Pelodiscus sinensis: one gene and its partners. The protein of the gene in region 1 purifies or fractionates together with the protein of each later gene. This does not show direct contact. Links are inferred from orthologs where the notes say so. Each region holds a gene or a part of one and is shown in the gene's direction. Other genes may lie near its edges.

The links.
Region 2: the proteins of FUS (region 1) and LARP1 purify together in Homo sapiens (affinity purification with mass spectrometry; 3 studies listed by BioGRID and IntAct, with this or other methods). This does not show direct contact. The link is inferred for Pelodiscus sinensis from reciprocal best matches to the Homo sapiens genes FUS and LARP1.
Region 3: the proteins of FUS (region 1) and KHDRBS1 purify together in Homo sapiens (affinity purification with mass spectrometry; 3 studies listed by BioGRID and IntAct, with this or other methods). This does not show direct contact. The link is inferred for Pelodiscus sinensis from reciprocal best matches to the Homo sapiens genes FUS and KHDRBS1.
Region 4: the proteins of FUS (region 1) and DDX17 purify together in Homo sapiens (affinity purification with mass spectrometry; 5 studies listed by BioGRID and IntAct, with this or other methods). This does not show direct contact. The link is inferred for Pelodiscus sinensis from reciprocal best matches to the Homo sapiens genes FUS and DDX17.

What each region holds. Positions count from the first base shown.
Region 1 is NC_134714.1:131,652,915-131,660,578, reverse strand, and holds the start of FUS (RNA-binding protein FUS), read left to right. Parts: upstream 1-4,663; 5' UTR 4,664-4,778; coding exon 4,779-4,791; intron 4,792-5,028; exon of another isoform or gene 5,029-5,096; intron 5,097-5,659; coding exon 5,660-5,684; intron 5,685-6,412; coding exon 6,413-6,567; intron 6,568-7,249; coding exon 7,250-7,391; intron 7,392-7,664. UniProt on the Homo sapiens protein: DNA/RNA-binding protein that plays a role in various cellular processes such as transcription regulation, RNA splicing, RNA transport, DNA repair and damage response. Binds to ssRNA containing the consensus sequence 5'-AGGUAA-3'.
Region 2 is NC_134727.1:38,046,925-38,054,421, forward strand, and holds the start of LARP1 (la-related protein 1), read left to right. Parts: upstream 1-4,478; 5' UTR 4,479-4,697; coding exon 4,698-5,166; intron 5,167-7,497. UniProt on the Homo sapiens protein: RNA-binding protein that regulates the translation of specific target mRNA species downstream of the mTORC1 complex, in function of growth signals and nutrient availability.
Region 3 is NC_134735.1:3,883,464-3,890,366, reverse strand, and holds the start of KHDRBS1 (KH domain-containing, RNA-binding, signal transduction-associated protein 1), read left to right. Parts: upstream 1-3,890; 5' UTR 3,891-4,235; coding exon 4,236-4,542; exon of another isoform or gene 4,543-4,561; intron 4,562-6,903. UniProt on the Homo sapiens protein: Recruited and tyrosine phosphorylated by several receptor systems, for example the T-cell, leptin and insulin receptors. Once phosphorylated, functions as an adapter protein in signal transduction cascades by binding to SH2 and SH3 domain-containing proteins.
Region 4 is NC_134711.1:91,724,736-91,731,755, forward strand, and holds the start of DDX17 (putative ATP-dependent RNA helicase DDX17), read left to right. Parts: upstream 1-4,001; 5' UTR 4,002-4,264; coding exon 4,265-4,308; intron 4,309-4,400; exon of another isoform or gene 4,401-4,730; intron 4,731-5,948; exon of another isoform or gene 5,949-5,966; intron 5,967-7,020. UniProt on the Homo sapiens protein: As an RNA helicase, unwinds RNA and alters RNA structures through ATP binding and hydrolysis.

The sequences.
Region 1 (7,664 bases):
GCACTTGTGTCATGCACTGAGCCAGTGACCTACTTTCCACGGTTGCCTTGCCAACGCCCAGCAAGGCCATTCATAAATGGCGCATGGGCCTCTGAGCCGGATTGAACCGGTTTCAGGGACACAGACAGGAAAGCCTTGGACTGGGGAAGAAACCATTTTGCAGAATAAGGGGGTTCCAGGGAGAGGAATCGTTTTTCTTCCTGAATCCCGATCCGAGACATGGACCAACCTTTTCTATTCTGTGTGGGTTCTTATACCACGTCACCACTGCAGAGTCAGAGCCCCCAGCGCAGATAGGCCCCAAGACAAAGAATCCAGGCCTCAATTTTGTTCATGGGCTTTTTTTCTTCCCCAAGTGCAATTTCTGCTCACCTCCCACGCTCATTTTTTCATCCATTGACTTAAACGTGCGTTCGTTTTCTTTTGTCATGAGGAAAACACACTGCGCCAGACACGAATTCTGTGCAGCTGAATGGACCCTGATCCTGAGGGGTTTTAAAAGAAATGCTGCTTAAAAAAGAAACCCACGGTGACAATTGTGAATTGGATACCCCAGTGATAAGTACAGAATCATTACGTTTATTTATCATACCACTTATGGGGCCTAGCAGGGCAGGCCCTACACTAAATGGCGTCACAAGCAAAGAGTGTTTCATGCCTCCCTCCACTTGTTCAGCTTTTTAACACCTTATTTTTAGCCCATTTCATGACTCTGATGCGTGATTTATCCCTGTTATATAAGAGATGATGTATTTGTTCATGCCATAGATAAGCAAATAAAAAAGGTGTTTCCTCTAAGCTTATAGAAACCTTTTAATTTTAAGAATAAGTGAAATGTACTAACCTCAGGAAACTGTCACCAAACGATGTATTAAGCATGGCAAAAGAAGTAACGGTATTGCTTTTATATTATCGTGTTGATAGGCGTTTGATTACTATCTCTGGCATCTAATTATGTCCTCTATGAATTGCTACTTACACTTTTCAAGTCATAAAACACAAGTACACATTCACAATGACACAATAAAACAAGGTTCAAAATATCACAGCTGGGGGCCTTTGTGCTAGGGGCTGCACAAACACACACCAAAGAGATGACTCGAACCCCAAACAGCTTCTGATCTAAACTCCCAATCCTTGCTGAGACATCCGGCCTGGGAACCTGAGGGAAAGATTTTTCATCTTCCTTTAAAAACCTGCTCAGGGGTGCAGACTGAAAAAGGGAAGGAAGGGCTGCTTCGATATAATGTGTCTTGAAATAGGGGGAAATCTGACTCCACCCTAGAACCTGCAGCTAATGGAATTACATTTTAGGCCTCGTTAAACTGGGATGTGAAGGATTCGGCCACCCTGCAAGCCATCTGTTGCTTGGGAGGACTTTGGAGTTACTGTATGTGGATCTAAATCACGTAAAGGATAATGTGTCAAAGTCTTGAGTGATCTCCTTGCAGCTGTGGGTAACCTTTCCCTCTCAGTTTCTCCTTGGAACAAGAGTAGCTAACGAGAATTCAGAACCTAAGTCTCTCATAGGAATGGCTTGTGGGACAGCTATCAAGTTTGAATTTCCCAGAAATTCTGCAACCAGCTTTTTAACCAAGATTTGGTCTGCTCCAGCAAAGATCCTGTGATTTTTTTTTCCGAAGAGGAAGGGTTTGCTCTTAGCTCAGCCAGCCAACAGTAGTGATATATGTGGGTTTGACTGCTAGGCTCCACCCCAGAGAAGGATGCACTGTGGCAAAGAACAGCATAACAAGAACCAGTGATTGGGAGACAGACAAATTCCAATGAGAAATAACAAGGCCCTGACTTTTAACAATGAGGGTAATTAGACTCTGGAACTAACTTCCCAAGAGAGCTGGTGGATTCTCTATATTTTGATAGCTTCAGATCAAGAATAGACAAGATGCTTTAGTCAAACACAAGTTACTTGGTTCAGTACAGAGGTATCTGAGTGAAACTCTCTTGGAAGTCAATTCCACTTATGGAATTACAGCAAGGTAGGACTGGATAAAGCCTCAAAAGACCATCTAATCTGATCACACTGCCCTGCACTGAGAGAGGATTAAATATGAACAGACCTGTGGCCTCTTCTGGTGTTAAAATCTATTAATCTACTCACCCTAACAGTGGCTGAACTTCAGTACAGTTCAGATCTGGTGTACAAAGGGAACATGGGGAGTGTCTTTCTCCTTCTCAGTCAGGGGCCACATCAGTGAGGGTTTGGTTTTTCTATTTTGCTTCTCACTTGTGTGTGCTCCCCGACTGATTTTTCTGTGGGGTCAGCATCCCCTGGACTCAAAAACGGTTCCCCACCCTTGCAGAGTAATCACTTTTTGTGACGTTCCTGCTCCAAAGAGCTTACAATCTAATTTAAAGTGCATTCTTTTAGAGACCGTTTTCATCCTTTCAAACATCCCACCCCAATATCAGCGCTGAAATCCAGCTGTCTGAGTTCTAGGTGATCCCTATATTGTATAATCTGAAATGGTTAAAATCTCAGACCCTGCCTTTGGAATTGTTCTGGCCTGATTCTACCATTAAAACTGACTCTTACTTTTATTACCATGAATTCTTTCCTACTTTGTTACTGGAGGATGGCTCACTAAGAAACGTCCCCACTGAAGGGAAACAAGAAGACCTTTTATAAATACATTAAAAGCAAGAGGAAGACCAAGGACAGGGTAGGCCCACTGCTTAGTCAGGAGGGAGAAGCAGTAACAGGGAACTTGGAAATGGCGGAGATGCTCAATGACTTCTTTGTTTCGGTCTTCACCGAGAAGTCTGGAGGTGTGCCTAACGTAGTGAATACAAGCAGAGAGAGGGTAAGTTTAGAAGATAGGATACACAAAGAACAAGTCAAAAATCACTTAGGAAAGTTAGATGTCAGCAAGTCACCAGGTCCTGATGAAATGCATCCCAGGATACTTCTTCTAGGGTTTGAGAAGAAGGTGTAGTAAACAGCTGAACTGTTATAAATATTCAGACGTGAACTTTGCAACAAGAGAACAAAGGTCAGTCAAGGATCTCACTAAGCTTTATTGAGCAATTTAACTGGCTCGCCTTCTTGAATCAAGAGCAAGACTGCAGACATGAACTCAGTTTATGCCAACAGTCAGGATTAATCCAGATTAAATCAGCTTTTGGAAATACCATCAACAAATGCACAGAGTGATTTAGACACTGGAGAAAAAAAATGGATCCCCACACATATCTAGACACAAATACGTACCTATCCATCTATATAAACCCATGTACTTGTCTCAGTCCCCTATACACACACACACACACCTTAGCACTTATCTAGTGTTCTTGGTCTGCTTCTAGGGCTACGTCTACACTATAAGCTTTTTGCGCAAAAACCTGCAGAGCATCCACAGCTCAAATGAGTTCTTGGGCAATTAAATGGGCAGTTAAACGGCAGAACAGAGGACTTTTTCCACCATAAGTAAACCTCCTTTTCTGAAGCATAACTGCTTTTAGCACTACAGCTATTGCACAAAAAGGCAAGTGTGGATGCTCCAGAGGGGTTTCTTGCGAAAGAAACTGCTATAGGAAAAAGCACAGGTGCTCTGATGGTCATTCTGTGAATGGCCATCAGAGCTTTCTTGCGCAAGAGCGCCCATGCAGTGTGGACACTCTCTTGCGCAAAAGCACAGCGCAAAAGTGATGTGCTTTTGCAATGTGATTTGAGGTGTGGACGTGCTCTTGCGCAATAAATTTTTGTGCAAAAGCTCTTACGCAAAAGGCTTCTTGCACAAGACGCATGTAGTGTAGACATAGCCTAAGAGTTCTGCAAAGGAGTTAATTCCAGTTTTACTAGTAAGGAAGATGAGGCATGCCAAGGGAAAGTGACTTGCCCATGATCACCGAAAAGGCCAGAGATCTAAGACCCTAGGTATTGGCCCATGGCTTTTACCATTACTCCACATTGCCCTCAGGAGACACTCCCCCAAAGAGACACTACTGGACAAACCCACCTCCTATCAATTCAATGATTTCTTGTTGGTATGACAAACTAAACAAGTGTTGCTTGCACATTTACCCGCAAAGATTTCTCTCTTTCTCTCTCTCTCTCTCCCTCTCTCACACACACACAGGTCTGCACACAGACCCACAAATATCTTAAACCCCTGCACACTGATGCACCACAGTCTCGTACACATGCACCTCTGTACACTTACCCCAAAAGATCTTTCTCTCACGCACACACACTCCTGCACACTGACCCACAACTCAGACTCCTGCTCACTGATGCACAAAGGTCTCCCACAAATGCACACCTATACACACACACACACACACACTCACACTGCCCTAAGCACAAACCCCTCCCTGCCTCCCTCCCACCCAGCCACACACACAAATACCCTCCCCCCCCGCAGAAAACCAAACTCCTTCTCCCCGCATCCTCCCCTCCCCCCCGCTTCCGCAGTCACTTTGGTTCCTTCCACCCAGCCCCATGACCTCATTCCTCCTCGCGCCCCCACCCCCGCAGCCTGCACCATTCCCCTCCCGGGGGGGGGTGGCCGGAAGGGCAGAACAGGGGCCTTGTGCACAGAGAAAAACCACCGCCCCCCCTGCACAGACAATACACCCGGCTGCGGGTCCGCCCCGAGTGGGGGGGGAGCGGGCAACAGCGGCTCTGAGAAGGGAGGGGCCAAGCAACCCCCCCAGCTGCCGAGGGAGTTGGTACGGTCCAGGAGCAAGGGGCGGGGGAGGGGAGGGTATAAATACTGCCGGGCGGGGGAGGGACGTTCACTCCAGCGGCGGCAGCAGCAATGGCGTCTAACGGTGAGGCGGCGCCGCTCTGCGGCAGGGCACGGGCTGGCGGGAGGGGGCTGCTCATGGGTTGTAGACCCGTCGGGGGGGGGGCGGGTCGCAGCCCCCCCCCCCGGGGACGAATGCCCCCCCCGTGGCGGGGGCGGGCTCCCGCGCTCAGCGCCGCCCGGTGCACGCGGGGCCGCAATTCCTACATAGCGCGGGGGGGCCGGTGCCTCGTGCGGGGGGGCGCCCTCCCCCCTTCAATACCTGCGACACTGAGGCCTTAGCCGCCATTTTGGGGGGGAAAGGAAACGGCTCTTTCCTCGCTGCGCGCGTGTAGCCCAACGGCGCCTGCGCGCCTGGGGAGGGAGGGGGCGCGAGGCGCGCGCGGAGAGGGAAGGGCGTGGCAGAGAAGAACGCACGCGCGCTGTGGCCCCTGACGCCGCCGCCGCCTCGAGCCGCAGAGGGCGGCGCATGCGCAGTAGAAATGGGCCGCCCGCCCTGCACCCGCGTGTGGGCGCATGCGTCGTGCGGATTTTTTTTTTTTGCCGCAGTCTTTCATCCGGGCTCTGCCACGCGCTGTGCAGGCGGCGCCAGAGCGGGTTGGTTGGAGCCTCCGCGCCCGACCAATCATCGCCTCTCCCGCCCACTGAGTGAAGCGTGGTCCATTCCCTCCCCCCCCACGCACACACGCTGCCACCCAGCCTGGGGGTAGATGCCCTGCACTGCCTGTGACCGCCCCATTGCGGGGGGGGGGAGCCACACACACACACCTGCGCACTGGGCCTCCCCCTCCCCTCTGTACGGTGCCCCCCCTTGCTCCCCCCGCCCGTCCTCTCCCGGGAGCTGGGCTTTGGTCTGGGACCTGACTCACTGCTTCCCTCTTTGTGTCTTGCAGATTACAGCCAGCCGGCCACCCAGAGGTAACCCTCCCCCGCCCGTGCGCGGCGCTGGCCGTCTGGGCTCTGCAAAAAGAAGACAACGCTGGCACATGGGGGAGGGGGGGGTTATCCCAGGAGTCTTTCCTTCATCGCTCTTCTATTAGTGCCTTAGATCAGTGGGCTCTTCCAGCCCACATTCCTGCCTTGGATTAGACCTGTGGGCCCATCTAGTCTGTTATCCCTCCTTGCTCCTAGAGACCTGGATCACATCAGTGCACCTATCTAGCCCAGCATCCTGTTTCCCAATAGCGGCCAGCATTCTCTGCTTTATAGAAACATCTAAATAAAACAACAGCAGGGAGTTAAATAATGACGTGATTCTAAAGGAAACTTCCTCCTAAACACCCTTGATTTCTAAGCTCTTTTGGGCAGGGACTCTGCCTCTATTTAGCACAATGCTCTTATCTGCCTATTGCCCTGTAATGCAACTGACACACTTGTTAGTCCATGCTGTTAAATCCATTGACTCGTTGCTTCCCTGGAGCAGTGCTAATGGTGTTCAGGGCTTCTGATACAATGTGGGTTATTCCCTCAAATCCCCCTCAACCCAAATTGCATGATACATGGTGTCACCATGTCATGGTAATTTTCAAATTAGTTTGCTTATGTGTGTGGGACTTCTGAAAAAAAATGTTTCTAAACTGCTGCAGCCTTAACTATGGAGTCACTGCTGGCCTCTGGAATATCTAACCTGTCTGATCCTCATTTAGCTATGGGGCTTACCCAGCACCACCAGGACAGGGATACTCTCAGCAAACGAGTCAGCCCTACAGCCAGCAGAGCTACAGCGGTTACGGCCAGTCTGCAGACACCTCAGCATATGGACAGAACAGTTACAGTTCTTCTTACGGCCAGAATCAAAGCAGTAAGTGTCACTCTCTTGGTCCAGCTAAAGTGAAGCTGTTTTTCACTGCCAGCAAGTCTCATCAGCACCATCCAAAAGTTACTTGAGTGACGTCAGAGTATTTTCCTATCGGTTCTCTCCAGATGGCCAATTCCATCAAAGGATCCATTAATTGGTGTGGCTATATTGCTGATTCAGTCCCTACTGCATCAAGTGTTTAAAAACCCAATAACACTCTTCAGCCCTTCTGAATAATACAAAATCCCTATCACCTTTCATTTTTGGGTGAGAGTGAATCTGCATCATCTAGTTCTAGCCTATATATGGGCTAGGGATTGCGTAAAATTTGCTTCCCTACTTGGTATCCTCCCCCAAGGTTTGCATTGTGTATCTAACTAGTTTCTGTATATCATCCCCAGAGGTGCCTGCAATTTAGGGCCGATGGGAGGGAAGTTTAGTATGATACATCTTACCAAGTGCCTTGAAACTATAGACATGTGGCAGAACTGAGGTTAGAATTTGTCTCCTGAGTTACTTTTATTCTTTACTAAGTAACACGGCCTTTCCAAAGGAGCTGTGGAGACATAAGCTGGTGCCTCTCTTCTATACTTCAGTTGCACTGAATCAGCTTGAGGTATAGAAGGGATTCATTGGGTCTGTTTAGCCTGGCCATGTTTTAAGAATGGATTGGGTTTTTTACCAGCTGGCTACAGCACTCAGTCAACACCTCCAGCTTATGGAACAACTGGATATGGCAGCAGTCAGACCTCTCAGACCTCTTACGGACAACCCTCATCGTATCCTAGCTATTCCCAGCCACCAGCAGCCAGCTCAACAACGGGAAGGTATGGCTAAACATTTCCCTTCTGAGCCCCTGTCTATATTCATTTTACAAATGGTGAGGGAAGGGGGCTTGCTCAGGCTCGCGGATTGAGTCAATGGCAGAGCAGTGTATGGAACCCAGGAGTTCCTACTCCCATCCCTGCTCCAACCTGCTAGACTCCTCCTTTCCTAAAGCTGAGGCTAGAACCCAAGGCTACGTCTACACTACAGGCTTTTTGCGCAAGAACAGCCATTCTTGCGCAAAAACTTAGAGCGTCTACACTGCATGCGTATTC
Region 2 (7,497 bases), on another chromosome or scaffold:
GCGACTGGCTCCAAATGTGCCATTTGCACCCCATTGTTGGCAAAGTTGGCCACGAGTCCCTCCATGGAATTGGCAGATAATCGCACGAAGGCAGAGGGAATGCGGCCATTGTGTGCACGTTCAGGGCTGAAATGCGGCACAGAGGTCACGGCTTCTAGTTCGGCAAATTCCACTCCATCTGGTGAACCCGGCGAGTTTCAGCGAGATGGAGGGGACATGCCCCATCGCCGCCATCGCTCTTTGGCGTTACAATGTTAGACGCGCTCACTCTTACTCCGCCACGGCCTTGTGCTTGTTCCTACAAAGCCTCACCGAAGTTTAATGTAATCTTACTTAAAATTTTCTTAGAGTAGTTTCATAAAACTGTTTTACAGGAACTCCGAGGTGATCGCTGGTAGAACCATGATGCCAAGAGCAGCTGTTTGGCTGGTCCACATGGTTTATAGCAATGCTATTGATCGTAGACTGTCTTCTCGTATTAATGTAAGCACTAAACAGGCAGTTAAAAGATCTAACTGCAAATAACTTAGACACAGGAGGTGCGCTATAAATAATAGACTCTGCAAATACATATAGGCTGCACAGGGCAAAACTCAGGCTCAATATTTTGAGATTTTTTTTAATCATAGAAACTCCATAAACCAAAAACCTAGAAATTTCAGCCCAAATTTAAAAAAAAACAACTGCTAAATAACTAACTCCCTGAAAACCAATGTTTGCCCTGGCGATGACAGTTTAAAATACAGAGGTGCTGCTGGGGTAATAACCTCCCATCTTCAGAGCATGACACTAAAGGAGACTGAATTCAATTGTGTGCAAGTATGGTGCATACTCGTGTGTGCACGTGCACCAGTGCAGACTTAGTTGTGTGTTGCTGTATACTGTTTGGCTGTGTCTACAGTGGGCCACTTATTCCGGAAAATCAGCCGCTTTTCCGGAATAAGCTGCGAGCTGTGTACACTGGCCCTTGAATTTCCGGAAAAGCAACAATGCTCTACTGTACAAAATCAGCCGCTATTCCGGAAAAACTATTCTGCTCCCACTCGGGCATAAGTCCTTATTCCGGAACACTGTTCCGGAAAAGGGCCAGTGTAGACAGCCCAGTAGTCTTTTCCAGAAAAGCGCGTCTACATTGGCCACAGACGCTTCTCCGGAAAAGCAGCCTGCCAATGTAGATGCTCCTTTTCCGGAAAAACTGAAAACGGAATAGTATTCCGTTTTAAGCATTTCCGGAAATTCATGCCAGTGTAGACACAGCCATAGTGTGTTTCGACGGTGCATAATGTATCTTTCCATGGATTATGGATTATTTGTATTGGCATCGTGTCTATAGTCCTAGATATGGGGTAGGACCCCACACTGTGGGTCTACATGCTCCTCCTTGTCTGGACCTGAAAGCATTGTCAGAAATGCATCATCTTTGGGTATCCAGGCTTTATTTTTGCAGACTAAATATAGAAACAGCTGGGCCCAAAATACCCTGACAGGTAAGTCTTACATAAGCAGAAATGAGGCGGCAGCAGTGTTCTCTGTTCCTTTTAGCACATACCGAGCAAGCGTCTGAGATGCCTCTCTCTCTCCTGCACCACACCCTGGCTCCAAAAGGCACCTTTTCCCCCCGAGGGGGGGTTTCTATGATTGTACAGTACACCGCTGACAGACTGTCATAGTGACAAGCCTAGGGGAGGCGTGAACATGACAAATATTTCACAGGGAATCACGACGGGGCTGGAATTAAGGGAGGCCAGATAGGATCAGTTGCAGTGGCTATAGGTATCCCTGGCGATTTTGTAGCTATAATCTGACTGCTGCTGCTGTGGCTTGGTTGCACCCAGACAGTCGGGTTTTTACATGTGGCGTCAGCTTGGAAGGCATCTCTTGTCAGGGTCGGGAGGATGGTATTGGGTAAGGATTCATTTCCCCTCTCCTGCAGCCCCATTGGTCTATTCATGGGGCACCCCCTAGGGTTGCATTTTGTCAGCCCGTGCCATCCAGTGTTAGTTCGATGCAGCTCAGACTTGGCAGTTTCCTTGTTTTTCTGGGACTTGGCCAACCACTTTGGTAAAAAATTGCTAGGGCCTTATAATGACTCCATTTGGAGTTTGCCTGCTCTGTGCCAAGGATGCTCACCATCCCGAGACACGTCTGTGCCTCTTGCTTGCCCAGCCACCTGACTGCTTTTGGATTCCTAGAGGGTGACAGTGGTTGGTAGCGCTTTCTTTTCATTTTTAGCTACCTGAGAGGTTGCTGCCTTTTCTTACTGGTGTGGGCCTCACCACAGCCATGCATAACTTTGGCATCTGTAGGTCGTACTGTGGCAGTGAACTTTACGTAGGGGCTAACCCTGAAGATAAATGGGAACTTTTAGCTAGCAGAGAAAATAAATGGCTTGCCTGCTTTTAGTGCGGCTGATTCATGAGCATGTTATCCCTGTATGCCACACGCTGCATGGCTTCCTGTTTGGTTTTAGACACTCTCGAAGTTTAATGTAGAACGCCCTATTTGAGACGTGGCTATCTACAAGACCACAAGCCCGACTCTCTCCTGGATTCTGATTCTTTGATCCCTCTCTGCAGCTGAAGAGGCACAAGAAATCATCTAGATGCGGCCAGCTGTGAATTCTCCCAGTGGGGAGGGAGTTCTCAGCTGGCACAGAGCTGGCATAGCTGGGCCCCCTGCTCTATTCCCACACCCAGCCCAATCATAGAACTGGAAGGGGCCTCGAGAGGTCATCAAGTCCAGCTCCCTGCCCTCATGACAGAATCAAGCACCATCTAGATCATCCCTGATAGATGCCTTTATAACCTGCTCTTCAATATCTCCAGTGATGGAGATTCCACAACCTCCCTAGGCAATTTATTCCAGTGTTTGACCACCCTGACGGTTCAGAATCATGGTAGGAGCTCATGCACTCTGGCCATTGCCAGCATTAGTTTTCAAGCTGTGCGTCGGGACCCCAAAGTCTAAGGACTTCAGCCCTGGGCAGCAAAGCTCAGGATACAGGCCTGAGGTTGGGGCTGAAACTCTGGAGGTTTGGCCTCCCCTGCCCAGAGCACTGGGGCTTGGGCCCCCTCCCCACATGGGCTCAGGCAGACTCAGCCAGCCCCCACTCCCAGTGTTGTGTAGCGACTTTTATTGTCAGAAGGGGGTCACAGCGCAATGAAGTTTGGGTTACAGGAACCCCTGGGGCCTTCTCTTATCCTGTGGCCCCCACAAGATCTGAGCGGGTCCTGACAACAGTATCTGGGTGTCTCCGGGCAGTCAACCCACGGGGAATTGAACTGGAAATCTCCAGAGCTGAACGCACATGGCTCTAGAGTTTGAACTTCCAGCCGGCTTCTGAGCAGGAGGCTGTCATGGGCACACATGGTCTGTGCATCCTGCACTGAGGGGGACATAGTGGCCAATGAGTTACAAGTAGCTGAGAGCCGGAGGGAAGACATTTTCACTGCAGGCCCCTTGGCTACTTGAAACTCTCCCTGGGGCGTCTGTTAGAAATTTAACCCCTACTGCCCTTCAGAATAAGGGGCGAAGTTCATCTCTTCCTCCAAGATTTTGTCCACTGTCTAGTTTTTCTTCCCCCCCCCTTCTTCCTAACAACTTCCTTCAAAATCCAGACGCTTCGGGAGGGAGCCGAGTTTGTCTGTAACTGGACAAAAAGCCTCGCAGCACCTTAGTGATGAACAAAACACGTAGCTGGCATCACCCGCGTCTTTGGATGAAAATCCAGCTCCCCCTCCTTTCCGGGCACTGCTACCTTGAAACTAAACTGTCGCTGCCACTGGTGGTGCTTTTAATGTTCCTCGGGGCTTCTCGAAAGGGTGAGCGCAGCTCCCGTGGTCCATGGCATCCCAGGGAGCGGCCCGTTTATTGAATGCAGACACTGGGATGGGCACAGGAGGCCGTTCCGGAGAATCCCTGCGGAATCCAACAGGTCTGGGCAGAGGTGGCACTAAGAGGAAGCGGCTCCCCCACGCCCTACTTCTCAGGGGCTTGTGGGGGGTGTTTTAAGTCCCACGCTCCCCCTGCCCCGGGAACCGCGCAGGACCCAAGGGTGCTGGGGCAGCTCGTGGCCACACTCGCCCAGGCGGGTTGAACTGTCTGCCAGGGTGTGGGAAAGCCTGACGATCCGCCGGGCACGGCGCGCAGCCGCCTCCAAGCCGGGCACTTGCGCGCTGGCGCAAAAGGGGCGCAACTCCTGCGCGGCGCTGCGCGCGCTGCTGCCCGTCCCCCAGCGGTGCCTAAGGGGCGGGCACGCGGGGAGCCAAGCTCCCAGGCGCAGGGCTGCGCCACGCCCCCTTTCCGACTCCGCCCCCTCCCGCCGGCGCTGCCCCTTTAAGGAGCTCCTCCGAGCGCCGCGCATTGCATCAGGCGCGCGCGCGCCGCCGTCCCGGGCCAGCCCCTCTACGGCGCGCGCGCGCGCACTCACACACACACACACACGCGCCAGAGCGGGCGCTGGGCGCGCGCACGCGGCGGCGACAGGGAGGGAGGGGAGTGCGCGCTCCCGTGCCAGTCGCGTGGTCTCCGTGCTTCTCCATATTGCTGCAGCCGGAGGGGTGCCGCGGGAGGGGGAGCCGGCGCAGGGACCCCTCCCCACTTGCTCCGGGCTGCGTGCGGCTGAGCAGGGCCCCGCCCGGCGGGGGGAGCGCCTGGAGCAGGAGCGGGGGGGACGCGGCGGCCGGCCGGGGGCGCAGATGGCGACCCAGGTGGAAGCTCTCCTGCCCGGCAACCCCCTGCTGCCCGCCGAGGAGCACGGGTTGCTCATCAAGAAGCCCCAGGAAGGGGGCCGGGAGAAGGGCGAGCCCCTCATGCCCCAGGGGGAGAAGGCCAGCGCCGAGGAGGGCAGCGGGGGCGCCCCGGACAGCTGCAGCAAGGGAGGCGGCGCGGCGGGGGAGCAGCCGCGGCGGAGCGCGGCGGCCAAGCCCCCCAGCATTAAGCAGCAGAAGGAGGAGAGCAACAACCAGGAGAAGGAGAACCTGCTTCAGCAGCGAGGAGGGGGCGAGAACCGGCTGCTGGGCGAGGCGGGGGGAAGCGGCGAGGAAGGCGGCGAGCAGGGAGGAGGCGGGCGCAAGGAATTCATCGAGGCCCCCCCGCCCAAGGTGAACCCTTGGACTAAAAACGCCCCCGGGGCCGTGGTCACAGTCAACGGACAGTCCCCCCCAGGTGGGTAAGCGGGTGAGGCTGGGGGGGTCGCCCTTCCCCGCGGTGGGGTGGGATCGCTGAAATGCAGTATAGTGACTCTGGGTTTTTTTGTTCTCTTCCCCCCCCCAACCCCACCCCATTGGCTCTTGCGCTGTTGGATCGACCCCTGCGTCGGGGTCCTGGGCCCCATCGGCCCCCATGCGTCAGCTCTGTAGAGAAGGGGAGTAAGCGAGGGTGGGGTGCGCGGGCGCAGCAGGGCGTGGGGGGCTGGCAGCGGCCGGAGGGAGCCTCGCCAGGCCTCGGGGTGTCTCACACGCCCGACCAGGACACAGCCGGAGCTGCTTTTTCGTGAAAGGCCTCCCCCCCCAGGTGCATGATAGAAATGCCGGGGGGGGGGGGCTGGTCGGTGCGTGTAAGGAAGGGGGAGGGGACGGCTTGGTGGGAAGAGATCACTTTCCTCCCCTCCCCCCGTGGAGCCAGGCCGCATTTCCCATATTGTAAATGTTTAATGAGTGTGTTCGGCACGGAGCAGGAAAAGAAGAGGCCTCCACGCCCTTCCCCCGCCTGGATTCGGGTGCCAGAGTTGGCCCGGGTGCTCCGAATAGGGGGGTCTCGCGGGCCGTAGCCCGGCGTGGGGGAGAAACTAAACGTGGCCTGGGCGCGTGGAAGGGGATCTGCTCGCCCGCCGCCGCGCTCCGCCTGCCTCCGAGCCGGGCGCACGTTTGGCGGGGCCGGGGGAGGTCATCGGGGGAACGGGGATGGGGGATTTCTGGGGCGGCCCCGGCTCGCTGGGGAAGGGGAGGCTCGCCGCCTGCGGGAGCCATGAGGGCGTAGAGAGCATGTGTGCGGGGGGAGGGGGAGCCCAGCCCAGGCGGAGCGGCTCGGCCATGCGGCTTTGGGGCGGGGAAGGAGGAGGGGGGGGAGGCAGCGGCGGGTTTTCACGCCGAAGGTTCCACGGCACTGTTGCAACGTTCCAGGCCGCGGTGTCAACGTTCCAGGCCGCGGTGTGAACGTTCCACGGCGGAGGGCTCCAGCGTTCGATCGGGGCTGCGCGCGTGTGTGGGGGGCGGGCTGCGCTCGGGGCTGCCTCCCCTTCCCGGCATTCCACTGCAGTGAAGACAACGTGGTTTTCTTCTGCTGCGAACATGTGATTTCTCCCCCCCGCCCCCCCCCCCCGCTCACCGCGGGGCCTTCTCCCTTTTCCCGGCGCTGATCGCCCCCTCTCCCGCCGGGTTGGGTCCCAGCAAGAATTTGCAGCGCCTCAAAGGGTGACAGACTAGCTGTGCTGGGGAGGGAAAGGGGGGGGGGGTACGAGAGGCTCTGCTTGGCCTGGCCCATCCCCCACTCCCTGCCTCTCGTGTGCGTGTCGGATCCGTGCCCCATGGATCGGAGCACGCCGGCACCGTGTGGGGGAGATTCCCCTTCACCCCCACGTGTTCTCCCTTCTCACCGCGGCCCTGCGCGTGTGGGAAAGGGAATCCCTCCTCCCCACGTGTGCGTATTCCTCTGTAGCGTACTGCGGCTGGGCCCTTGACTCCTGTCTCCCGTGCTTCGCTGGCACCGTGACATGTAGGCCTCAGCGCTTCATTTCACGGCCGTGCCGTTGCTGTAAATAAGCTGGCGTGTAACCCTTTCTTCCCAGCATTGAATTTGCGTGGAGGATGGGAATGGGAGGTGAATATGCGGAACAAACAACAGCCCCCTTCCCCGCCTTTTCTTTGGAATAAACCCTTGGCCCGAAGGACATTGGGAGTAACTTTCTGGTAATCCTGCATGTTGCAATGCTGGTTCTCTGGTGTAACCTTAGCCCCTCTTCCCCCAAAAGTTACTGGGAGGGGAGGGCTGTGTGCTCAGTGCTAGTTTAGTAACAGCTGCCTTTTGAATTGTACATTCTTCCTCCCTCCATTCTTTTTAGGCCAAGATGGGAAATGCTGAACACTTTGCATTTTCTTGCAAGTTTTAATAGCTATTACCTCCGTCAGGAGCAATAAACTGTTTTAGCATGAAGGGAGCCCATGCCAGGAGAAAATACTGAGAATTTGAATTGGACATCTCCTTTATGAAGGCTCTTACGCTTTTCAGCCTTCCCTTGCAAACTTTAAATTACATTCCCAGCTATGGCATCTTTTTTTCATCCCTGCCTGTGCCAGCATTTTGCAGAAGTTGGTACCATCTAACATGATGAATCATCATAGCTATTGATCTTTGGAAGATGGTCAGTTCTGCAGTATCTGCTTGGAAAATGGTTTTTTTTTTTTTATAGTGGAGGGGAAAAGCATATATGAGAACTCACCCAAAAATCTCAATGGAGGCAAGCTGCTGTAGTCTGTGAAACCATGGAATGGGATAAGA
Region 3 (6,903 bases), on another chromosome or scaffold:
TGTGCAGGAGGACAGAGAGTCTACTCTTGTATCTTCCTATTGAAAGAGCAGGCAAATGACTGGCACCATGGTGGCCCGTTAGCAGGAGCAAGGATGGATTGTTTGGAGCAGAAGGTGCTGGGCCGATGGGATGGCATAGAAGACGTGTGCTCTGGGAAGGACAGGCAGGGAGAGGTGAATAGGATCCTGGGTGAAGCATTTGAGAGCTATGTCAGAGATGTGAAATTGAATTGGACAGATGGAAAGGGAGAGCGCAACTGAATCAGGAAGTGAAAGCAGAGAAGAGGGCAGAGAAGGAAGCCCGGATGGTGGATTCAGCACAAAGAGCCGGGGCAAAGTTGCTGAGAGAAAAAAAAAAAAGGACTGCCCCTTTTGCCCTTTTAAAAGGAGTCCCCAGTCGCGTTTGGTCGAGCTTTCATGGCTGCGCCGTGCCTAGGTTAGCACAGGGAGACAGGAGGAGAGGGCCGTTTTGGGAGGCGCGGGGGCAGCTTTTGAGCCACCGGGGGGGGCTTCACGAGCCACACCTGCGGGGGGGAGGGGAAAGAACCTTGGGTTGGCCACCCCTATTCTAGAGCCTCCTGAGTGAACCCTTGCGTGACAGACCCACACACTATCAGGCATGGCAGGATTTTCTACAGTAGCCATAGCTTTTACAAACTGTTCATAAGAATGGCCAGACTAGGTCAGACCGAAGGTTCATCTAGCCCAGTATCCCAATGGCCAATGCCAGGTGCCCTAGGGGGAATGAACAGAACAGGGGATCATCAAGTGATCCCTCCCCTGTCACCTATTCCCAGCTTCTGAGAAACAGAGGGTGGGGACACCATTTTTACCCATCTTGGCTAATAGCCATTGAAAGACCTAACCTCCATGAATTTATTTAGCTTTTTTTTTTAAAATCCTATTAAAGTCCTGGACTCCACAACATCCTGTATTCCACTTTTCCACTGTGTTCCTGAACTATGAACCCATCAATCCATTCATTATGGGAGAATGGCTGGTCACAGTGGCATGGAGGTTTGTAGCTTCCAGGAACGGGGTCCTGCCAACCGGTAAAGGAATACTGACTTCATTAACAACACTGGCAGAGATCCCTGCAACCAGTGACCCACAATGTTTTCCTGCTGAAAAATCCCTTGGTGCAACTGTACTACTGGCAGACCAGGTGCCAGCTCATGCCAAAGGCCTGAGGCCTCAACTGAACACTGCCAAGTGCATGGCTGGAAACCAGTCTGGTCCACTTGTGTGTTAGTATTGCTACAATAGGTATCAGATTTATAGAAATGTATTTAGGCTTTATGGAATGTTTGAGTTGTTGCATGCGTTAATGTCACTTATAATATCTATATCCCATGTTATAAATTAGTATTTAAATGTTTGCTCTGATACAGTAAACTCCCAGTCAGGAGAGAAGCATTACCAAGTGCGGAATACTAGTTTTTCACAAGAGGTGTCATCTTCTGCTGAACAGAACACCCATAGATACCACAGAAGACACTGTGGAACACAAGAGGGAAAAAAACAAGGGATCTCCAGCTGCTTAGCTTGGGTTCTGTAAATAACTTATAGAACTTGCATATCACAGCAACTTCTATTACATGCCTGTAACTCGTTTGTGTATGTTTAATTGTTTTAACCTTTTAATTAACTTTTTTTCTTAGTTAATAAATCTTTAGTTAATTGTAGGATTGGCTAGCACTGTCTTTGGTGTGGGCTCTAAAAAGCAGCTGGAGTAAGTGAGTGGTCCTTTGAGACTGGAAGTAACCTGAATATTGTTGTGTTTTTTTATGTAAGGGCCCATCTGTCACAAAGGAAAGAATACCAGAGAGGCAGTATAGATTGGAGTACCTCATGGGACTGTCTTTGATTCCATTTTAAGGCTATTGTAGTGGTTGGTGAAATCTGAGTTCAGAATGCCCACCCAAATTGTGTGCCAGGCTTCTTCCCCTGAGGTTTGTGCTCATTCTCCAGATTCACTCTGGACTCAGCAATGTTACTTGATTTCATGGGGATTTGCAAGGAGAAAGTTCTTTCCACATTAGCTCAGCGTTAGGCCTCCTGTCACCATCACCTTATGTGTGGGATTTATAAACCCCCAATAGATTCAGCTGCTTCCCATAGTCTTTTTTCCTCCCTTGCATGGACTCAGCTCATTTCCAACAGCTTATTAGGGTGCTCTGCAAAGTCTGAGTTGCTGGACACTACTGGAACTGGATCAATCTCTGATGTCCTCCCTTCCAAGAATCTTAGATCCACTTCCAAAACTATGTTACTCTACCACTTAGAATTTAGGCGAATGCAAGACACTAAAGTGCCTTCAGGCAAGAGTGCCCAAGGGGTCGTGTTGTGCCTACTATAATTTCCCTAGAAGGCAACAGCCAACTCAACACCTGTTGCTAGTGCTTAGGGAGGATGACATGAGTTTAGGACTAGATCACCAGCCCTCCAGTGGCAATTTTCTTTGGTTGATTTGCTGTAAATATCAGAGTCTGTATGAGTGTGTGGTCTGACTTACACATTCCTATCCCATCCTACACTGTTCCCTGTATCCCCACAGCACCCCCCTACCTGAATCCCTTGTGTCCCCACTATACCCCATGCTCCCCACCAGTATCCCTACAACACCCACCCTGCCCTCACCCCATGTCAGTGGTGGGCAACTTGAGGCCTGCGCGCCACATGCAGCCTATTGGGGCTCCTGCAGACAAGCCTCCCCCCCATGTCTCCTCCCCCATGAACCTCTTACACACTAGGCCACCTGAGCCTTGCACTTCCTATGCCTCCCCTCTCCCTCCCAGCAAATTGCCTGTTTTGCGCTCTGATACGGCTCCCCCTCCCTCCCAGAGCTGGAACATTGCTAATCAACTGTTCACTGTGTTCCAGTTTTGGGAGGAAGGGGGAGGACAGGAAGCAGGAGGACGTGAGACAGTGCCACTGTGAAAGTGCTAGGCGGGAAGGGGAGGAGCAGTTGAATGGTGGGGGGGGCTCTGGTGCCCCAGTGCATGAGAAGCACATGGGGGGGGGGGACCTGCAGGCCCATAGGTGAATCTTAAGTTGCCAGGTGTCCGGTTTTCACCAAGACTGTCCGTTATTCAGGTCCCTCGTCCGGTAAAAAAAAAACACAACAACAACAACAACAACAACCAGACCTGTGAAAAGTCTGGTATTTCCTGTTTCTCTCAAACACAAGCCCAGCAGGCACAATTTTCCTCTGCCATGTCTGGTGTTGGCAGGGGAGTGAGGAGCCATTTAAAGGCAGTGCCCCCCCTCCCTTTTTTTCTCAGAATTATTCCCCTTTTTGGGGGTGAGGGGGGTCGGTATTTGTTGTTGAACCATCTGGCAACCCTCGGTGAATCCCCAGTGGGCCATGGGATGCTGTGACCTACTGAGATGAAGGAGAGCCACTCACGTGGCCCACCCACTATTCGTGGTTGCCCCCACAACACCCCCCCCGCCTGCAATCCCCCTGTCCCTGGGGTGTGGCCCCTCCTCCCGGCTGCGCCCCATGCTCCCCTTGGCTCCTGTCGCGCTTTCTCCCCTCGGCTCCAAACCCGACCACGTGGCGCCCTGCGCACCAGGGCTACATGCGCACCACAGCACGTGCCACATTCCCGGGTGCGGGAGGGAGGGGAGAGACGTGCACATGCGCACTACAGCCACTACGCTACGCCCTCAGTATTCGATCGAAGGGGGAGGGGGAGAGGACAATACGCATGCGCCCCAAGTGTAGCCGACGCTTTGTTCTCGACGCCGGGCGTTGTTTTGCGCACGCGCAGTGTACCTCCGGAGGGCGTCACCGTGCTGCGCAGGCGTATTGCTTCCCCTGGGTACTTTTGTTGGCGGCGGAGCGTGCGAGTTCCGGCGGGCGCAGCTCCCTTCGCCGCCAGTCTCGCGCGCTTTCGCCTTCGCGGGCTGAGCGCTGCGCGTGCGCGCGCGCGCAACGCGGGGGCAGGGCACGCAGGGTGACGGTTGGGCATGCGCGTCGGCTCACTTCGGCGCTTTGTTCTCGACGGCGGCGGCGCATGCCCGGTGCTGGCTGCTTCTGACGGGGGCGCGGGGCGAACGTACACGCCGCTCGGCAGCGGGCGGCGGGAGCGCAGGCGCAGTGGGCGAGGAGCCGTTTCCGGCCCTTCACTTCCTGGCCTGGGAGCCCCGGCGGTCGGTGTGTGGCAATCCTGTTCGCCCTCTCGCTCCCCCCGCTCGTTCGGCCGCCCCCCCGCCCCCTCTTTCCGGGCATGCAGCGCCGCGAGGACCCCGCCGCCCGGCTGGGCAGAGCTCCGGGCCCCGCCGCCCGGCAAGGGGGGCCCGCGCCCCGCCGGCCGCCCCGAGGCGGGGCCCGGGGGGCCGGGGCCCAGCCGCCGCCGCTCCTCCCGCCCGCCGCCACCGCCGCCGCCTCGCAGACCCCCACCGCCGCGCCCACCCCGCTCCTGCCCGGGGCCACCGTCAAGATGGAGCCCGAGAACAAGTACCTGCCGGAGCTCATGGCCGAGAAGGACAGTCTGGACCCGTCCTTCACCCACGCCATGCAGCTGCTGACGGCAGGTAGCGCGGGGTGGGGGAGGGGACGAGGCCGGGAGGGGGAAGGGCGCGGGAGAGGCGGGGGGGGGGGGTCTGTGTGTCTGTCACCCACGTTGTGCTGCTGCTGGCGCCAGGCGCCGCCGCCTACGCAACACCTCCCCCCTTCCCTAGGCCGCGATCCGGGGCGGGGAGGGGCTGAGGCTCCAGTCCTGGCCGACCCCGCTCTTTGTTCGGCGCTCACAGCTGCTCTCCCCGCCCCGGGAGGTGACTGGCTGCTCCCGGGGGGCAGGATCCTCGTGCAGCCAGGAGGCCGCCGACTGGCTGCCATGCGGCCGCTTCCCTCCCTCCGGGCCCGCCGCCGCCGCGAGCTGCAGGCGGTCGCCTTTTTGTCCTGGGCTCGCTCCTGGTGGCTTCTGTAAACTGCCTCCTCGGCAGGGTTGAAGCAGCGCGTGGAAAAGCTCAGTCGCCAAGGCTTGGGGTGGGGCGCGTTTTATCGTTGCGCTCGTTCCTGCTCTAATGCACGTTAGATGGATGGGTAGTTTTAATCCGGGTCGATATGGGTGTATCCTAAATAGCATCCAGCCCCAAAGATTAATTCATGGTTTGAAAGGGATCAAACACGAACCTATAACTTCTTTCTCTGAAAGCGTGATTCTCTTGGCTCTTTACATCCATGGGAAAGAGGAGACTAAAGAGAATGGTACGGCAGTAAACTCGGTTTTTTTATGTAGTCTACTCCTTTGAAATGTGAAATTGTGGGGTTTTTTAATTCACCACTATGAAAATCTGTATTAGAGCTTGTTTCATGCCTCTGATGAAACTAAATGGAAATGGCCATGGTAGTCTTTGTTCTGTGACTAGGCTAGCACTCTCTTCCCCTGATCATCACTGTCCAATCGCCTGGCGGCTCAGATTTTTCCACATCACTACAGCGCAGCTGCACTGTGGTCACACATAGCTGTATCAAGTAGACAGTTTTGTTTAAAAATAGTTGTTAGTGTTTTAACTTGTTCGTTTTTAAACCAACAGTTTACTGTGTAAAAAAAGAAAAGGAAGTGTAAACTGCATATAAAGGATATAATTTTTTAGATTAGAATAATTTAGCCCCTTGTTAGGATTGTTACATTTAAAAATATCTGATACTAGTGAAACTATAATGCATTCTTTATGAACTGCATTATTAGAAAGCAGTTATAATATGGCATTGCCAGTGTTAATATAGTAGACACATTACGTCACTCATCTCAACTCTTCATGTAAAAGTAGGAAAGTGCTGTTTAAAGCTGTCATCTTCGTTGTACTAGAGATTTGATGTGGCTCCATTCTGAATTTGTATCTTGGTGCCACTGATATTCCTCTTGGTTATGATAAATTAGATATGTGCTATTTCCAGGTTAATTAAAGGGTCTTCCTGAAATCATGTTTTTTCTGAAAACAATGTTTAAAGATGACTAGATAACCTGTTGACTAGACCAGGGTTTTCCAACCTATGGGTTGTGACCCGTAGTGTCTTCATTACATTTCAAAAGGGTTGGCAAGTGTCTCCCCAGGTGGCGCTCTTAAGGAGCCATTCACACATTCGAAAAGGTGGTGTCCCTGTCTCCCTCTTCCCTCTCCCGCTCCAGCTCTACAACTGGCTTAGTTTTAAGGAGCCATTCACCTGCAGTGGTACTCAACTTAAACCAATCAATTGAATACCATTTCAGTGACTAAGGCAGGGGTCTCCAACTTTTTTTAAACCCAAGATCACTTTTTGAATGTGAGTGCAATCCAGGATCTACCTCAAACCCAAATACCCTTGTCCTGCCTCCTTCGTGCTCGTTCTCCCTCCCTTTCCCCAGGCAGGGGCAGAGGGTTGGAGCACAGGCTCTGGTCTTGGGCTAAGGGATTTGGAGTGTGAGGGGACTCTGAGTTGAGCCTGGGGTGCAGAAGGGGGTTTGGGTCTGGGGGGGCTCAGGGCTAGAGCAGGGGTTTGGGGTATAGTGGGGTACATGACTGGGGCAGGGGTTCAGAGTTGGCTCCAGCTGGACACTGTTTACCACAGGTGGCTATTGGGTGGTGTTGCAGTGGGGCTAAGGCAGGCTCACCCCTGCCCTGGCCCTTCACCATTCTCCAAAGCAGCCAGAAACTCCTTTCATCCCAGGCCCTGTTGTTCCCCTCTCCCAGTTCTGTGGAGATAGACTACAGAGTGGAAGAAGAGGCACCCTGACATCAGCCCCCCATCTCCCTTCCTTGCTCTGTTTCACAAGTAGGAAGCTCCCTGGGGAAGGGCAGCTGAAGTACTGGCACTTGATAGGTGATCCTGACTGGTTTGGCTATCAGAGGCTCCAAGATCTACTAGTAGATCCAGATCTACTCGTTGGTGACCACTGGAGTAAGGAAGTA
Region 4 (7,020 bases), on another chromosome or scaffold:
TCCTCGGGGCACTCCGCTAGAAACCGACCGCCAACCTGACATTGAGCCATTGATCACTACCTGTTGGGCTCGACAGTCTAGCCAGCTTTCTATCCATCTTACAGTACATGTATTGAATCCATACTCCCTTAACTTGCTGGCAAGAATATTGTGGGAGACCTTATCAAAAGCTTTGCTAAAGTCAAGGTATATCACATCCATTGACTTTCCCATATCCACAGAGCCAGTTATCTCATCATAGAAGCTAATCAGATTGGTCAGGCACGACTTGCCCTTTGTGAATCCATGTTGACTATTCCTGATCACTTTCCCCTCTTCCAAGTGCTTCAAAATGGATTCCTTGAGGATCCCCTCCATGATTTTTCCAGGGACTGAGGTAAGCCTGACGGGTCTGTAGTTTCCTCGATTGTCCTTCTTCCCTTTTTTAAAGATGGGCACTACATTTGCCTTTTTCAAATCATCCAGGATCTCTCCCGATCTCCACGAGTTTTCAAAGATAATGGCCAAAGGCTCCGCGATGACATTTGCCAATTCCCTCAGTACCTTCGGTTTCATTAAATCCGGGCCCATGGATTTGTGTATATTTAGCTTTTCTAAATAGTTCCTAACTTTTTCTTTCCCCACCAAGGGCTGTCCACCTCCTTCCCATACTGCATTGCCTAGTGCATTTGTCTGGGAGCTGACCTTGTCCGTGAAGACAGAGGCAAAGAAAGCATTGAGTACTTCAGCTTTTCCCACATCATCTGTCACTAGGTTACCTCCCTCATCCAGCAAGGGCCCCACACCTTCTCTGATCACCCTCTTATTGCTAACATGCCTGTAGAAACCTTTCTTTTTTTCCTTCACGTCCCTTGCTAATTCCAGTTGCACTTTCACCTTCCCGATAACTCCCCTGCATTCTTGAGCAATATATTTATACTCCTTTCTAGTCATCTGGTTGCCTACCATATTTGCTTCTCTTGCTGTGCATCAGGATGGTTTCTTCCTGTGCCTTTAATAAGGCTTCTTTAAAATACTGCCAGCTCTCCTGGACTCCTTTCCCCTTCATGTAAGTATTCCAGGGAATCCTACCCATCAGTTCTCTGAGTTAATCGCATTGATAAACAAGAGAATACCAATTGAAATGTATTAAATATTGTGGACATTTTTCTATATTTTCAATTACAATACAAAATGTACAGTGCTTACTTTTTTTAAAATTACAAATATTTGAACTGTAAAATGATGAAAAAATAGTACCTCTTTATACTTTGGCCATCATGCCAGAGAACATGCCTCCAGGCTGATGATGCACATTAAAAAATAATGTTAATTACATTTGTGACTGAACTCCTTAGGGGAGAATTGTATGTCTCATGCTGTGTAGTACCTGCATTCTGCCATATATTTAATGTTGTAGCAGTCTAGGAAGATGACCCAGCAAATGTTGTTCATTTTAAGAACACTTTCACTGCAATTTTGACAAAACACAAAGAAGTTCTAAAGCTAACTACAGCACTTGACCCAAGGTTTAAGAATCAGAAGTACCTTCCAAAATCTGAGGGAGAAGGTGTGGAACATGCTTTCAGAATGGGAGCTGAAGTGTGAAGGGACGAATCTTTAGCACATCAGGCATGTAAATATTTTGTGATGCTGGCTACAACCATGTCATGCAAACAACTGTTTTTCCTTTCAGGTGACATTTTAAACATGGAGCAGGCAGCATTATCCCTTGCAAATGTAAACACATTTGTTTGAGTGGACAAGAAGTAGGATTCAGTGGACTTGTAGGCTCTAAAGTTTCACATTGTTTTATTTTTAAATGCAGTTATTTTTTGTATATGTCTACTTTTTTAATTTCAACTTTCAGGATAAAGAGATTGCATTATAGTACTTATAATGGGGAACTGAAAAATACTATTTTTTTACAGTGTAAATATTTGTACAAAAAATAAAGTGAGCACTGTACACTACATATTCTGTGTTGTAATTGACATAAAATATTGAAAAGATGGAAACATCCAAAATATTCAAAAATATAGTATTCTATTATTGTTTAAGAGCATGGTTAGCCACATGATTAATTGTGATTCATTTCTAATCACATGATTAATCACAATCAATTTTTTTAATCATTTGACAGCTTCACTGAAAATGCTTGCATCTGTTGTCCATTTTAAAAAATGTAATGGTAGTAATCCCAGTGTTCTGGCCATATTCTAATTTAAATTAAGTAGATAGTTGAAGTTCCCCTGTTGTTTCAAGTGGACATATTTTTATCTACCTCCCATCTGTGTATTTATGCAGTTAAAGAATGTGTAGCTTCTTCACCAGAGGTGACTAATTTGAGGTGTATGAATTGTGATGCCTGGATATCATTTATATGGATCAGATCCTTTTCTTTGAGAGGCAAAAAAGCTTGTGTAAGGCACAACAATTATGCAAAGGTTTCCCTTTAGGGCTTCTTTTTTGCTGCTAACACTTGAGATATTGTGGGGGTGATGCTCCTGCAAAGCAAATACCTGGCAGCTCCGCACCCTGCCCTCAGACAGTGTTTCCATAGCATTGGAATGACATTGCAGAGCTCCCCAGCATTCAGGTCAGTGGAGTTTTATGCTTTCCACTTGTGGAAGCATGGAAAATAATAGGGCCATAAAAATACTTTGGTATCCTTCAGAATAAAAAGGACCAGAGGAATACAATATACATAGTCAAATTCATTTCTCATTTACAAATCTATGAATGCCTATTGATTCCAGTGGAGTTACACAAATGTAAGAGAAGGAAGTATTTTGCCAATTATTATTACAAGATTATGAAAGGATTTAAAATATTGTCCTTATTAACACTAAAACATGTAAACTTTTAAGTTGTAACAATACTTCAAAACACGCAATATATCACCACACAAAATAGCATTGTTTGCCCTGTTTTTGTAGCTGTGTTGGTCCGGAGAGAGACAGGGTGAGGTAATACTTTTTATCGAACCAGCTTCTGTGAGTAAAAGAGAAACTTTCAAGCTTCACCTTCTAGGCAGTGGAATAGTGCTTGTCAATGCTTCTGTACTTTTGTTTTTTGACCAGATCGCAAGGAATCTCCTTCCTATTGAAGGGGCTGTAATTATTTCACGTAAATAATTACATTAATTTAGCTAAATTTCCTTCCCCTTTCTTTTTGCTTTACTGGAAACAAGGAGAGAGTAAATATCATGGCGGCTGCTACTGGCCTCGTCCTGTCTGTGCACTGCGGCAAGATCGCTTTTATGACATGTGTAGGCAAACAAACATGCACTTTACACGACAACCCCTTCTCTGCCCCAGCAGACACTGAGCTTAAATGTTGTGTCAGCCTGGTGAGTTTCCTGAACAAGACGCAGCCTGGGGGTGAGGGTGGGGGGGATTTCTTAGGCAGCAGAGCTAAATTGCACCAAGGCCTTTTCAACTCTGCAGCTTGCCACACAGAATTATTGTCTCTCCAGCTTGCTGCCACCTCCCACTCATGCAGTTGCTGCAAAGGCAAAAAGACCTTATTCTCCAAGCACAATACGCTACGCGAACCATGCAATTCTGCACCCCCCCCCTCCGCCGGCCAGCTGAGCAGAAGCAACTGAAGAATTTTACGCAAAATGGAAGGCTCTTCCTTCCCCTACGCTAAACCCAGCTCAGAACCAGCCACTGCTACGAAACTTGTGTAGAATAATGTACGTAATATGCCGCTTGGTCAGGGTTTGCCTCCCCGTTCGTTAAATGGGTTACTTGAGTGGCATTTTGCGCAATCGAATTTCGGGAATAAGGAACAGCGTTGTCTCCAAACGCAAGAAGCCAAATCAGATCGTGGGTACTACGCAATTTGCGCATTGTCGTGGTTAGGTTCGGCTTTCCGGCCTCATACGTACTCAGACTTCGAGAATAGGCGTAGCGACGTTCGTATCACCCCTCCCCCACGCCGGCTATTCAGGGACGGAGCTTGCGCAAAGTTCAAGCCGCCCTTAACGTAAGTGGAGCGGGCTGGGGCGGCGGCAGCCATTTTGTGCCGGGAGCCCAGAGGAGGAGGACGCTGTTCTGTCTCCGCGCCCGACGGGCCCTCAGGCGAACCGAGCCGCTCTCGGCCCCGCGAACCGAGCCCGACCGAGTCTCTCGCCTCCCCGCCCCCTCCCTCGGGAAGTGAGGCGGCCAAAGGCGACTCCGCCGGGACACAACAGCCGCCGCCGGCCGAGCCCCCCCACCCCTTCCGCGCCACCCCCAGCTCGCGCCCCTCTGTGCCCCCCGCCCAGCCCCACGGGAAGATGCGGGGCTTCGGAGACCGGGGCCGGGACCGCGACCGCGGCGGGTAAGAGCGGGGGGGTGGGGGGAGCGCGGTGTGGGGGAGGGGCGGCGGGGAAGTAGCCAGGCAACGCCCCGGGGCTGGGCCGCGGGGGTCACCTCCTCGGGCCGTGGACTGGGAAGGTCTTGGACTCGGCTGGATCCAAGGCGAGGCGGTTCCGGGTCTGTGAGGAGCCGCTGGCGGGTGACCCGAGGGGAGGCCGCGGGGGGGCTCTTCGGATTGGAGAGTGAGGGGCCCTAGGTCGCCGCCCGGCTCGGGAGGAATCGCCCCCGCGCACCTTTGTTCCTGCTCTTGCGGTGTCTGGCGCGAGAGGGACGGGGCCGTTTCCCCTCTGGCCGGCAGGATACCCCCCCCCCCCTTCCCTGTCACTGGGTTCGAGTTCATGGCCTTTGACTTCGCTTCTCCTTCTTCCGCACTGGTCACACTTTGAGCCGTAAGGATCCCTCTTCCTCAAGCTGCTGGCCTTGCTTTAGGACTCTGCTTGCCAGGGACAGCACACGGAGTTTGTGGAGGGGACTGGTCCTGACCCTTTTTCTGAATGTCATGGCTATTAACGTGGCCAGAAAAATGGTTGTTAAATAACAGTGCCTATTTCTGCAGTATTCCTAGCCCCTGTTGAAGGTGATGGTGAAAACAGACATGAAAAGTGAACGTGAGCCTTTTGTGTAGTAGCAAAGAGCCCTTAAGCCTGATGAGTGTACCCAGGGTAAGGGGTGGAAAAATCTGCAATCAAACTACGATGTTCCATATTGCTGTGCCTATCAAGTTGGTTCCTTGCTCTTTTGATATCACTCATCATGGGGCCTAATAGAGTTTAGGAAAATAGGATTCAGTTGAGCTCTGATTTTGGGGAACAAGTATAAGACCTCATTTAATCATAAAATAGAAAATATATGAATGGTCCGGGATTGATATTTGAGTACTTGATTTAGTAGAATGGGGTTAAGAAATGGCAATACCTCAAGTTTTTCCTGGAAAAGACTAGTAGGGATTAAAGAGAAGGAATTGGGTCCTGACAGAGAGCAAATAAAATATACTTACTCCTTGTCTTATTTCTCCTTTGACTGATTTTTGAGTCAAGAAATGTGCCTGTTTGCTATATTCAAATGTATTTCCCCTTTTCTCAAGATGAAGTTGAACAATGTTTTGTTAAAATTATCTTTCCCAATAGACTGGATAATCTAAGAGCTCCACTTCAATTTTATATTCACATCAGACATACATATAAGTAACTCCCATCTGAAATATAAAGATCCTTTCAGTTACATTGCAGAGAATAGGGCCTTTTTGTTTTTCCACTATAAGCTTTCTAGTTCAGTGAAAAGCAGGTCTTGGGGTAAATGGTTTGGTGAATCTCAGATGACTTAGTCCCTAGCTGTTTTTAGAGTTAAGTGAAGAGTAATGGTATTCAGAACTATACATAGGTATTTAAAGGGACGCTATCCAGATTTTGAGGCATCAGCATTTGACCTGCCTTTACATATAATCCTATTTTGAGTAAAAATATGCTTTTAAAAAACTTTATTTTCAGATTTTATTAAGCCATGTTTTGGGTAGAACCTACAGAAATACAATACTTTGTTCTCTTTAGAATTATGCTGACGTTGATTCACCTTGCATCATCAAAATGTATTATGACAGGGTTTAGAGTGACCACAGGAAAGGTATTTATAATAATCTTATTTCATATCCATGAAAAATGAAGGTGGGAGAAAATAGTCTTGTCAAAAAGAAAAGGACAGAGTCAGGAATAGGGAAACTACTTGACAATGAATCTTACAAAAAAAAGTTTTAATTCACAGAAAGCTATAAATTATGGGCTTTGGCCCTGATCTCATTCCAAGTAATATTTGGCTTTGTTGCATAGCTTTATGAATTGCTACAAAAAGTCACAACTTTTTGTAATATAAACTGGATTGTGTGTGTGTGTGTGTGCGCGCGCGCCTGTGCATGTATCAGATAGTGAAACAGTAACAAGTATTTCTAATATTGAAAACTCTATTCCTGAATGGTTCCATACCAAAAATTCAGCACATCATAACTTTAAAAAAATTATTTCTGAGATCTAAAACAATGTTTTTTATGACTTGCAGTAATGGAAAATTGTATGGTGGGATTTGAAAGATAATTAGATAGTCCACTTACTGTGTTAGACAAACTTCAGTTGGATGTTTACTTTCTAGTTGCACTCAATTCTTGTTGCAGAGTCATTTAGATCTGGATTTTTGTGTGTCTTGTCCTGAATAAGTTGTTAATGACCTTAATAACACTGATATGGTGCAGTTTTACTTTAGCACTTGAATAAGATGCTGTAGCATTAAGTTCTGGAGGTAGCTGCATTTCAGTTATTGGTGAAGTGAATCAGTCACCACTGAACAAGGACAAATAATGCCATGCAAATAAGCAGAATTACTCTAGGTTTACAATTGAAATTGTAATCTGTTCCATATCAGTAATAGGGTTGTTAAATATCAAGTAATTGACTAATCAAATAGTCGATGCATTTTGCAATGACTATTTGATTAGTCGATAGGGCGCCTTCCACCTTTGAATTGTAGCAAAAGCCCTACACTTCAAAGGTGGAGGCACTGCATGGAGCCCAAGGTCAGCTGTTGACTCCCCCGTTGATCCTGGGCTCCATGCAGAACTGCAGCTTTGAAGCATTGCAGGGAGCCCGGTGTCAGGCTCCTCATGACGTTTCAAAGTGGCAGCGCCCTG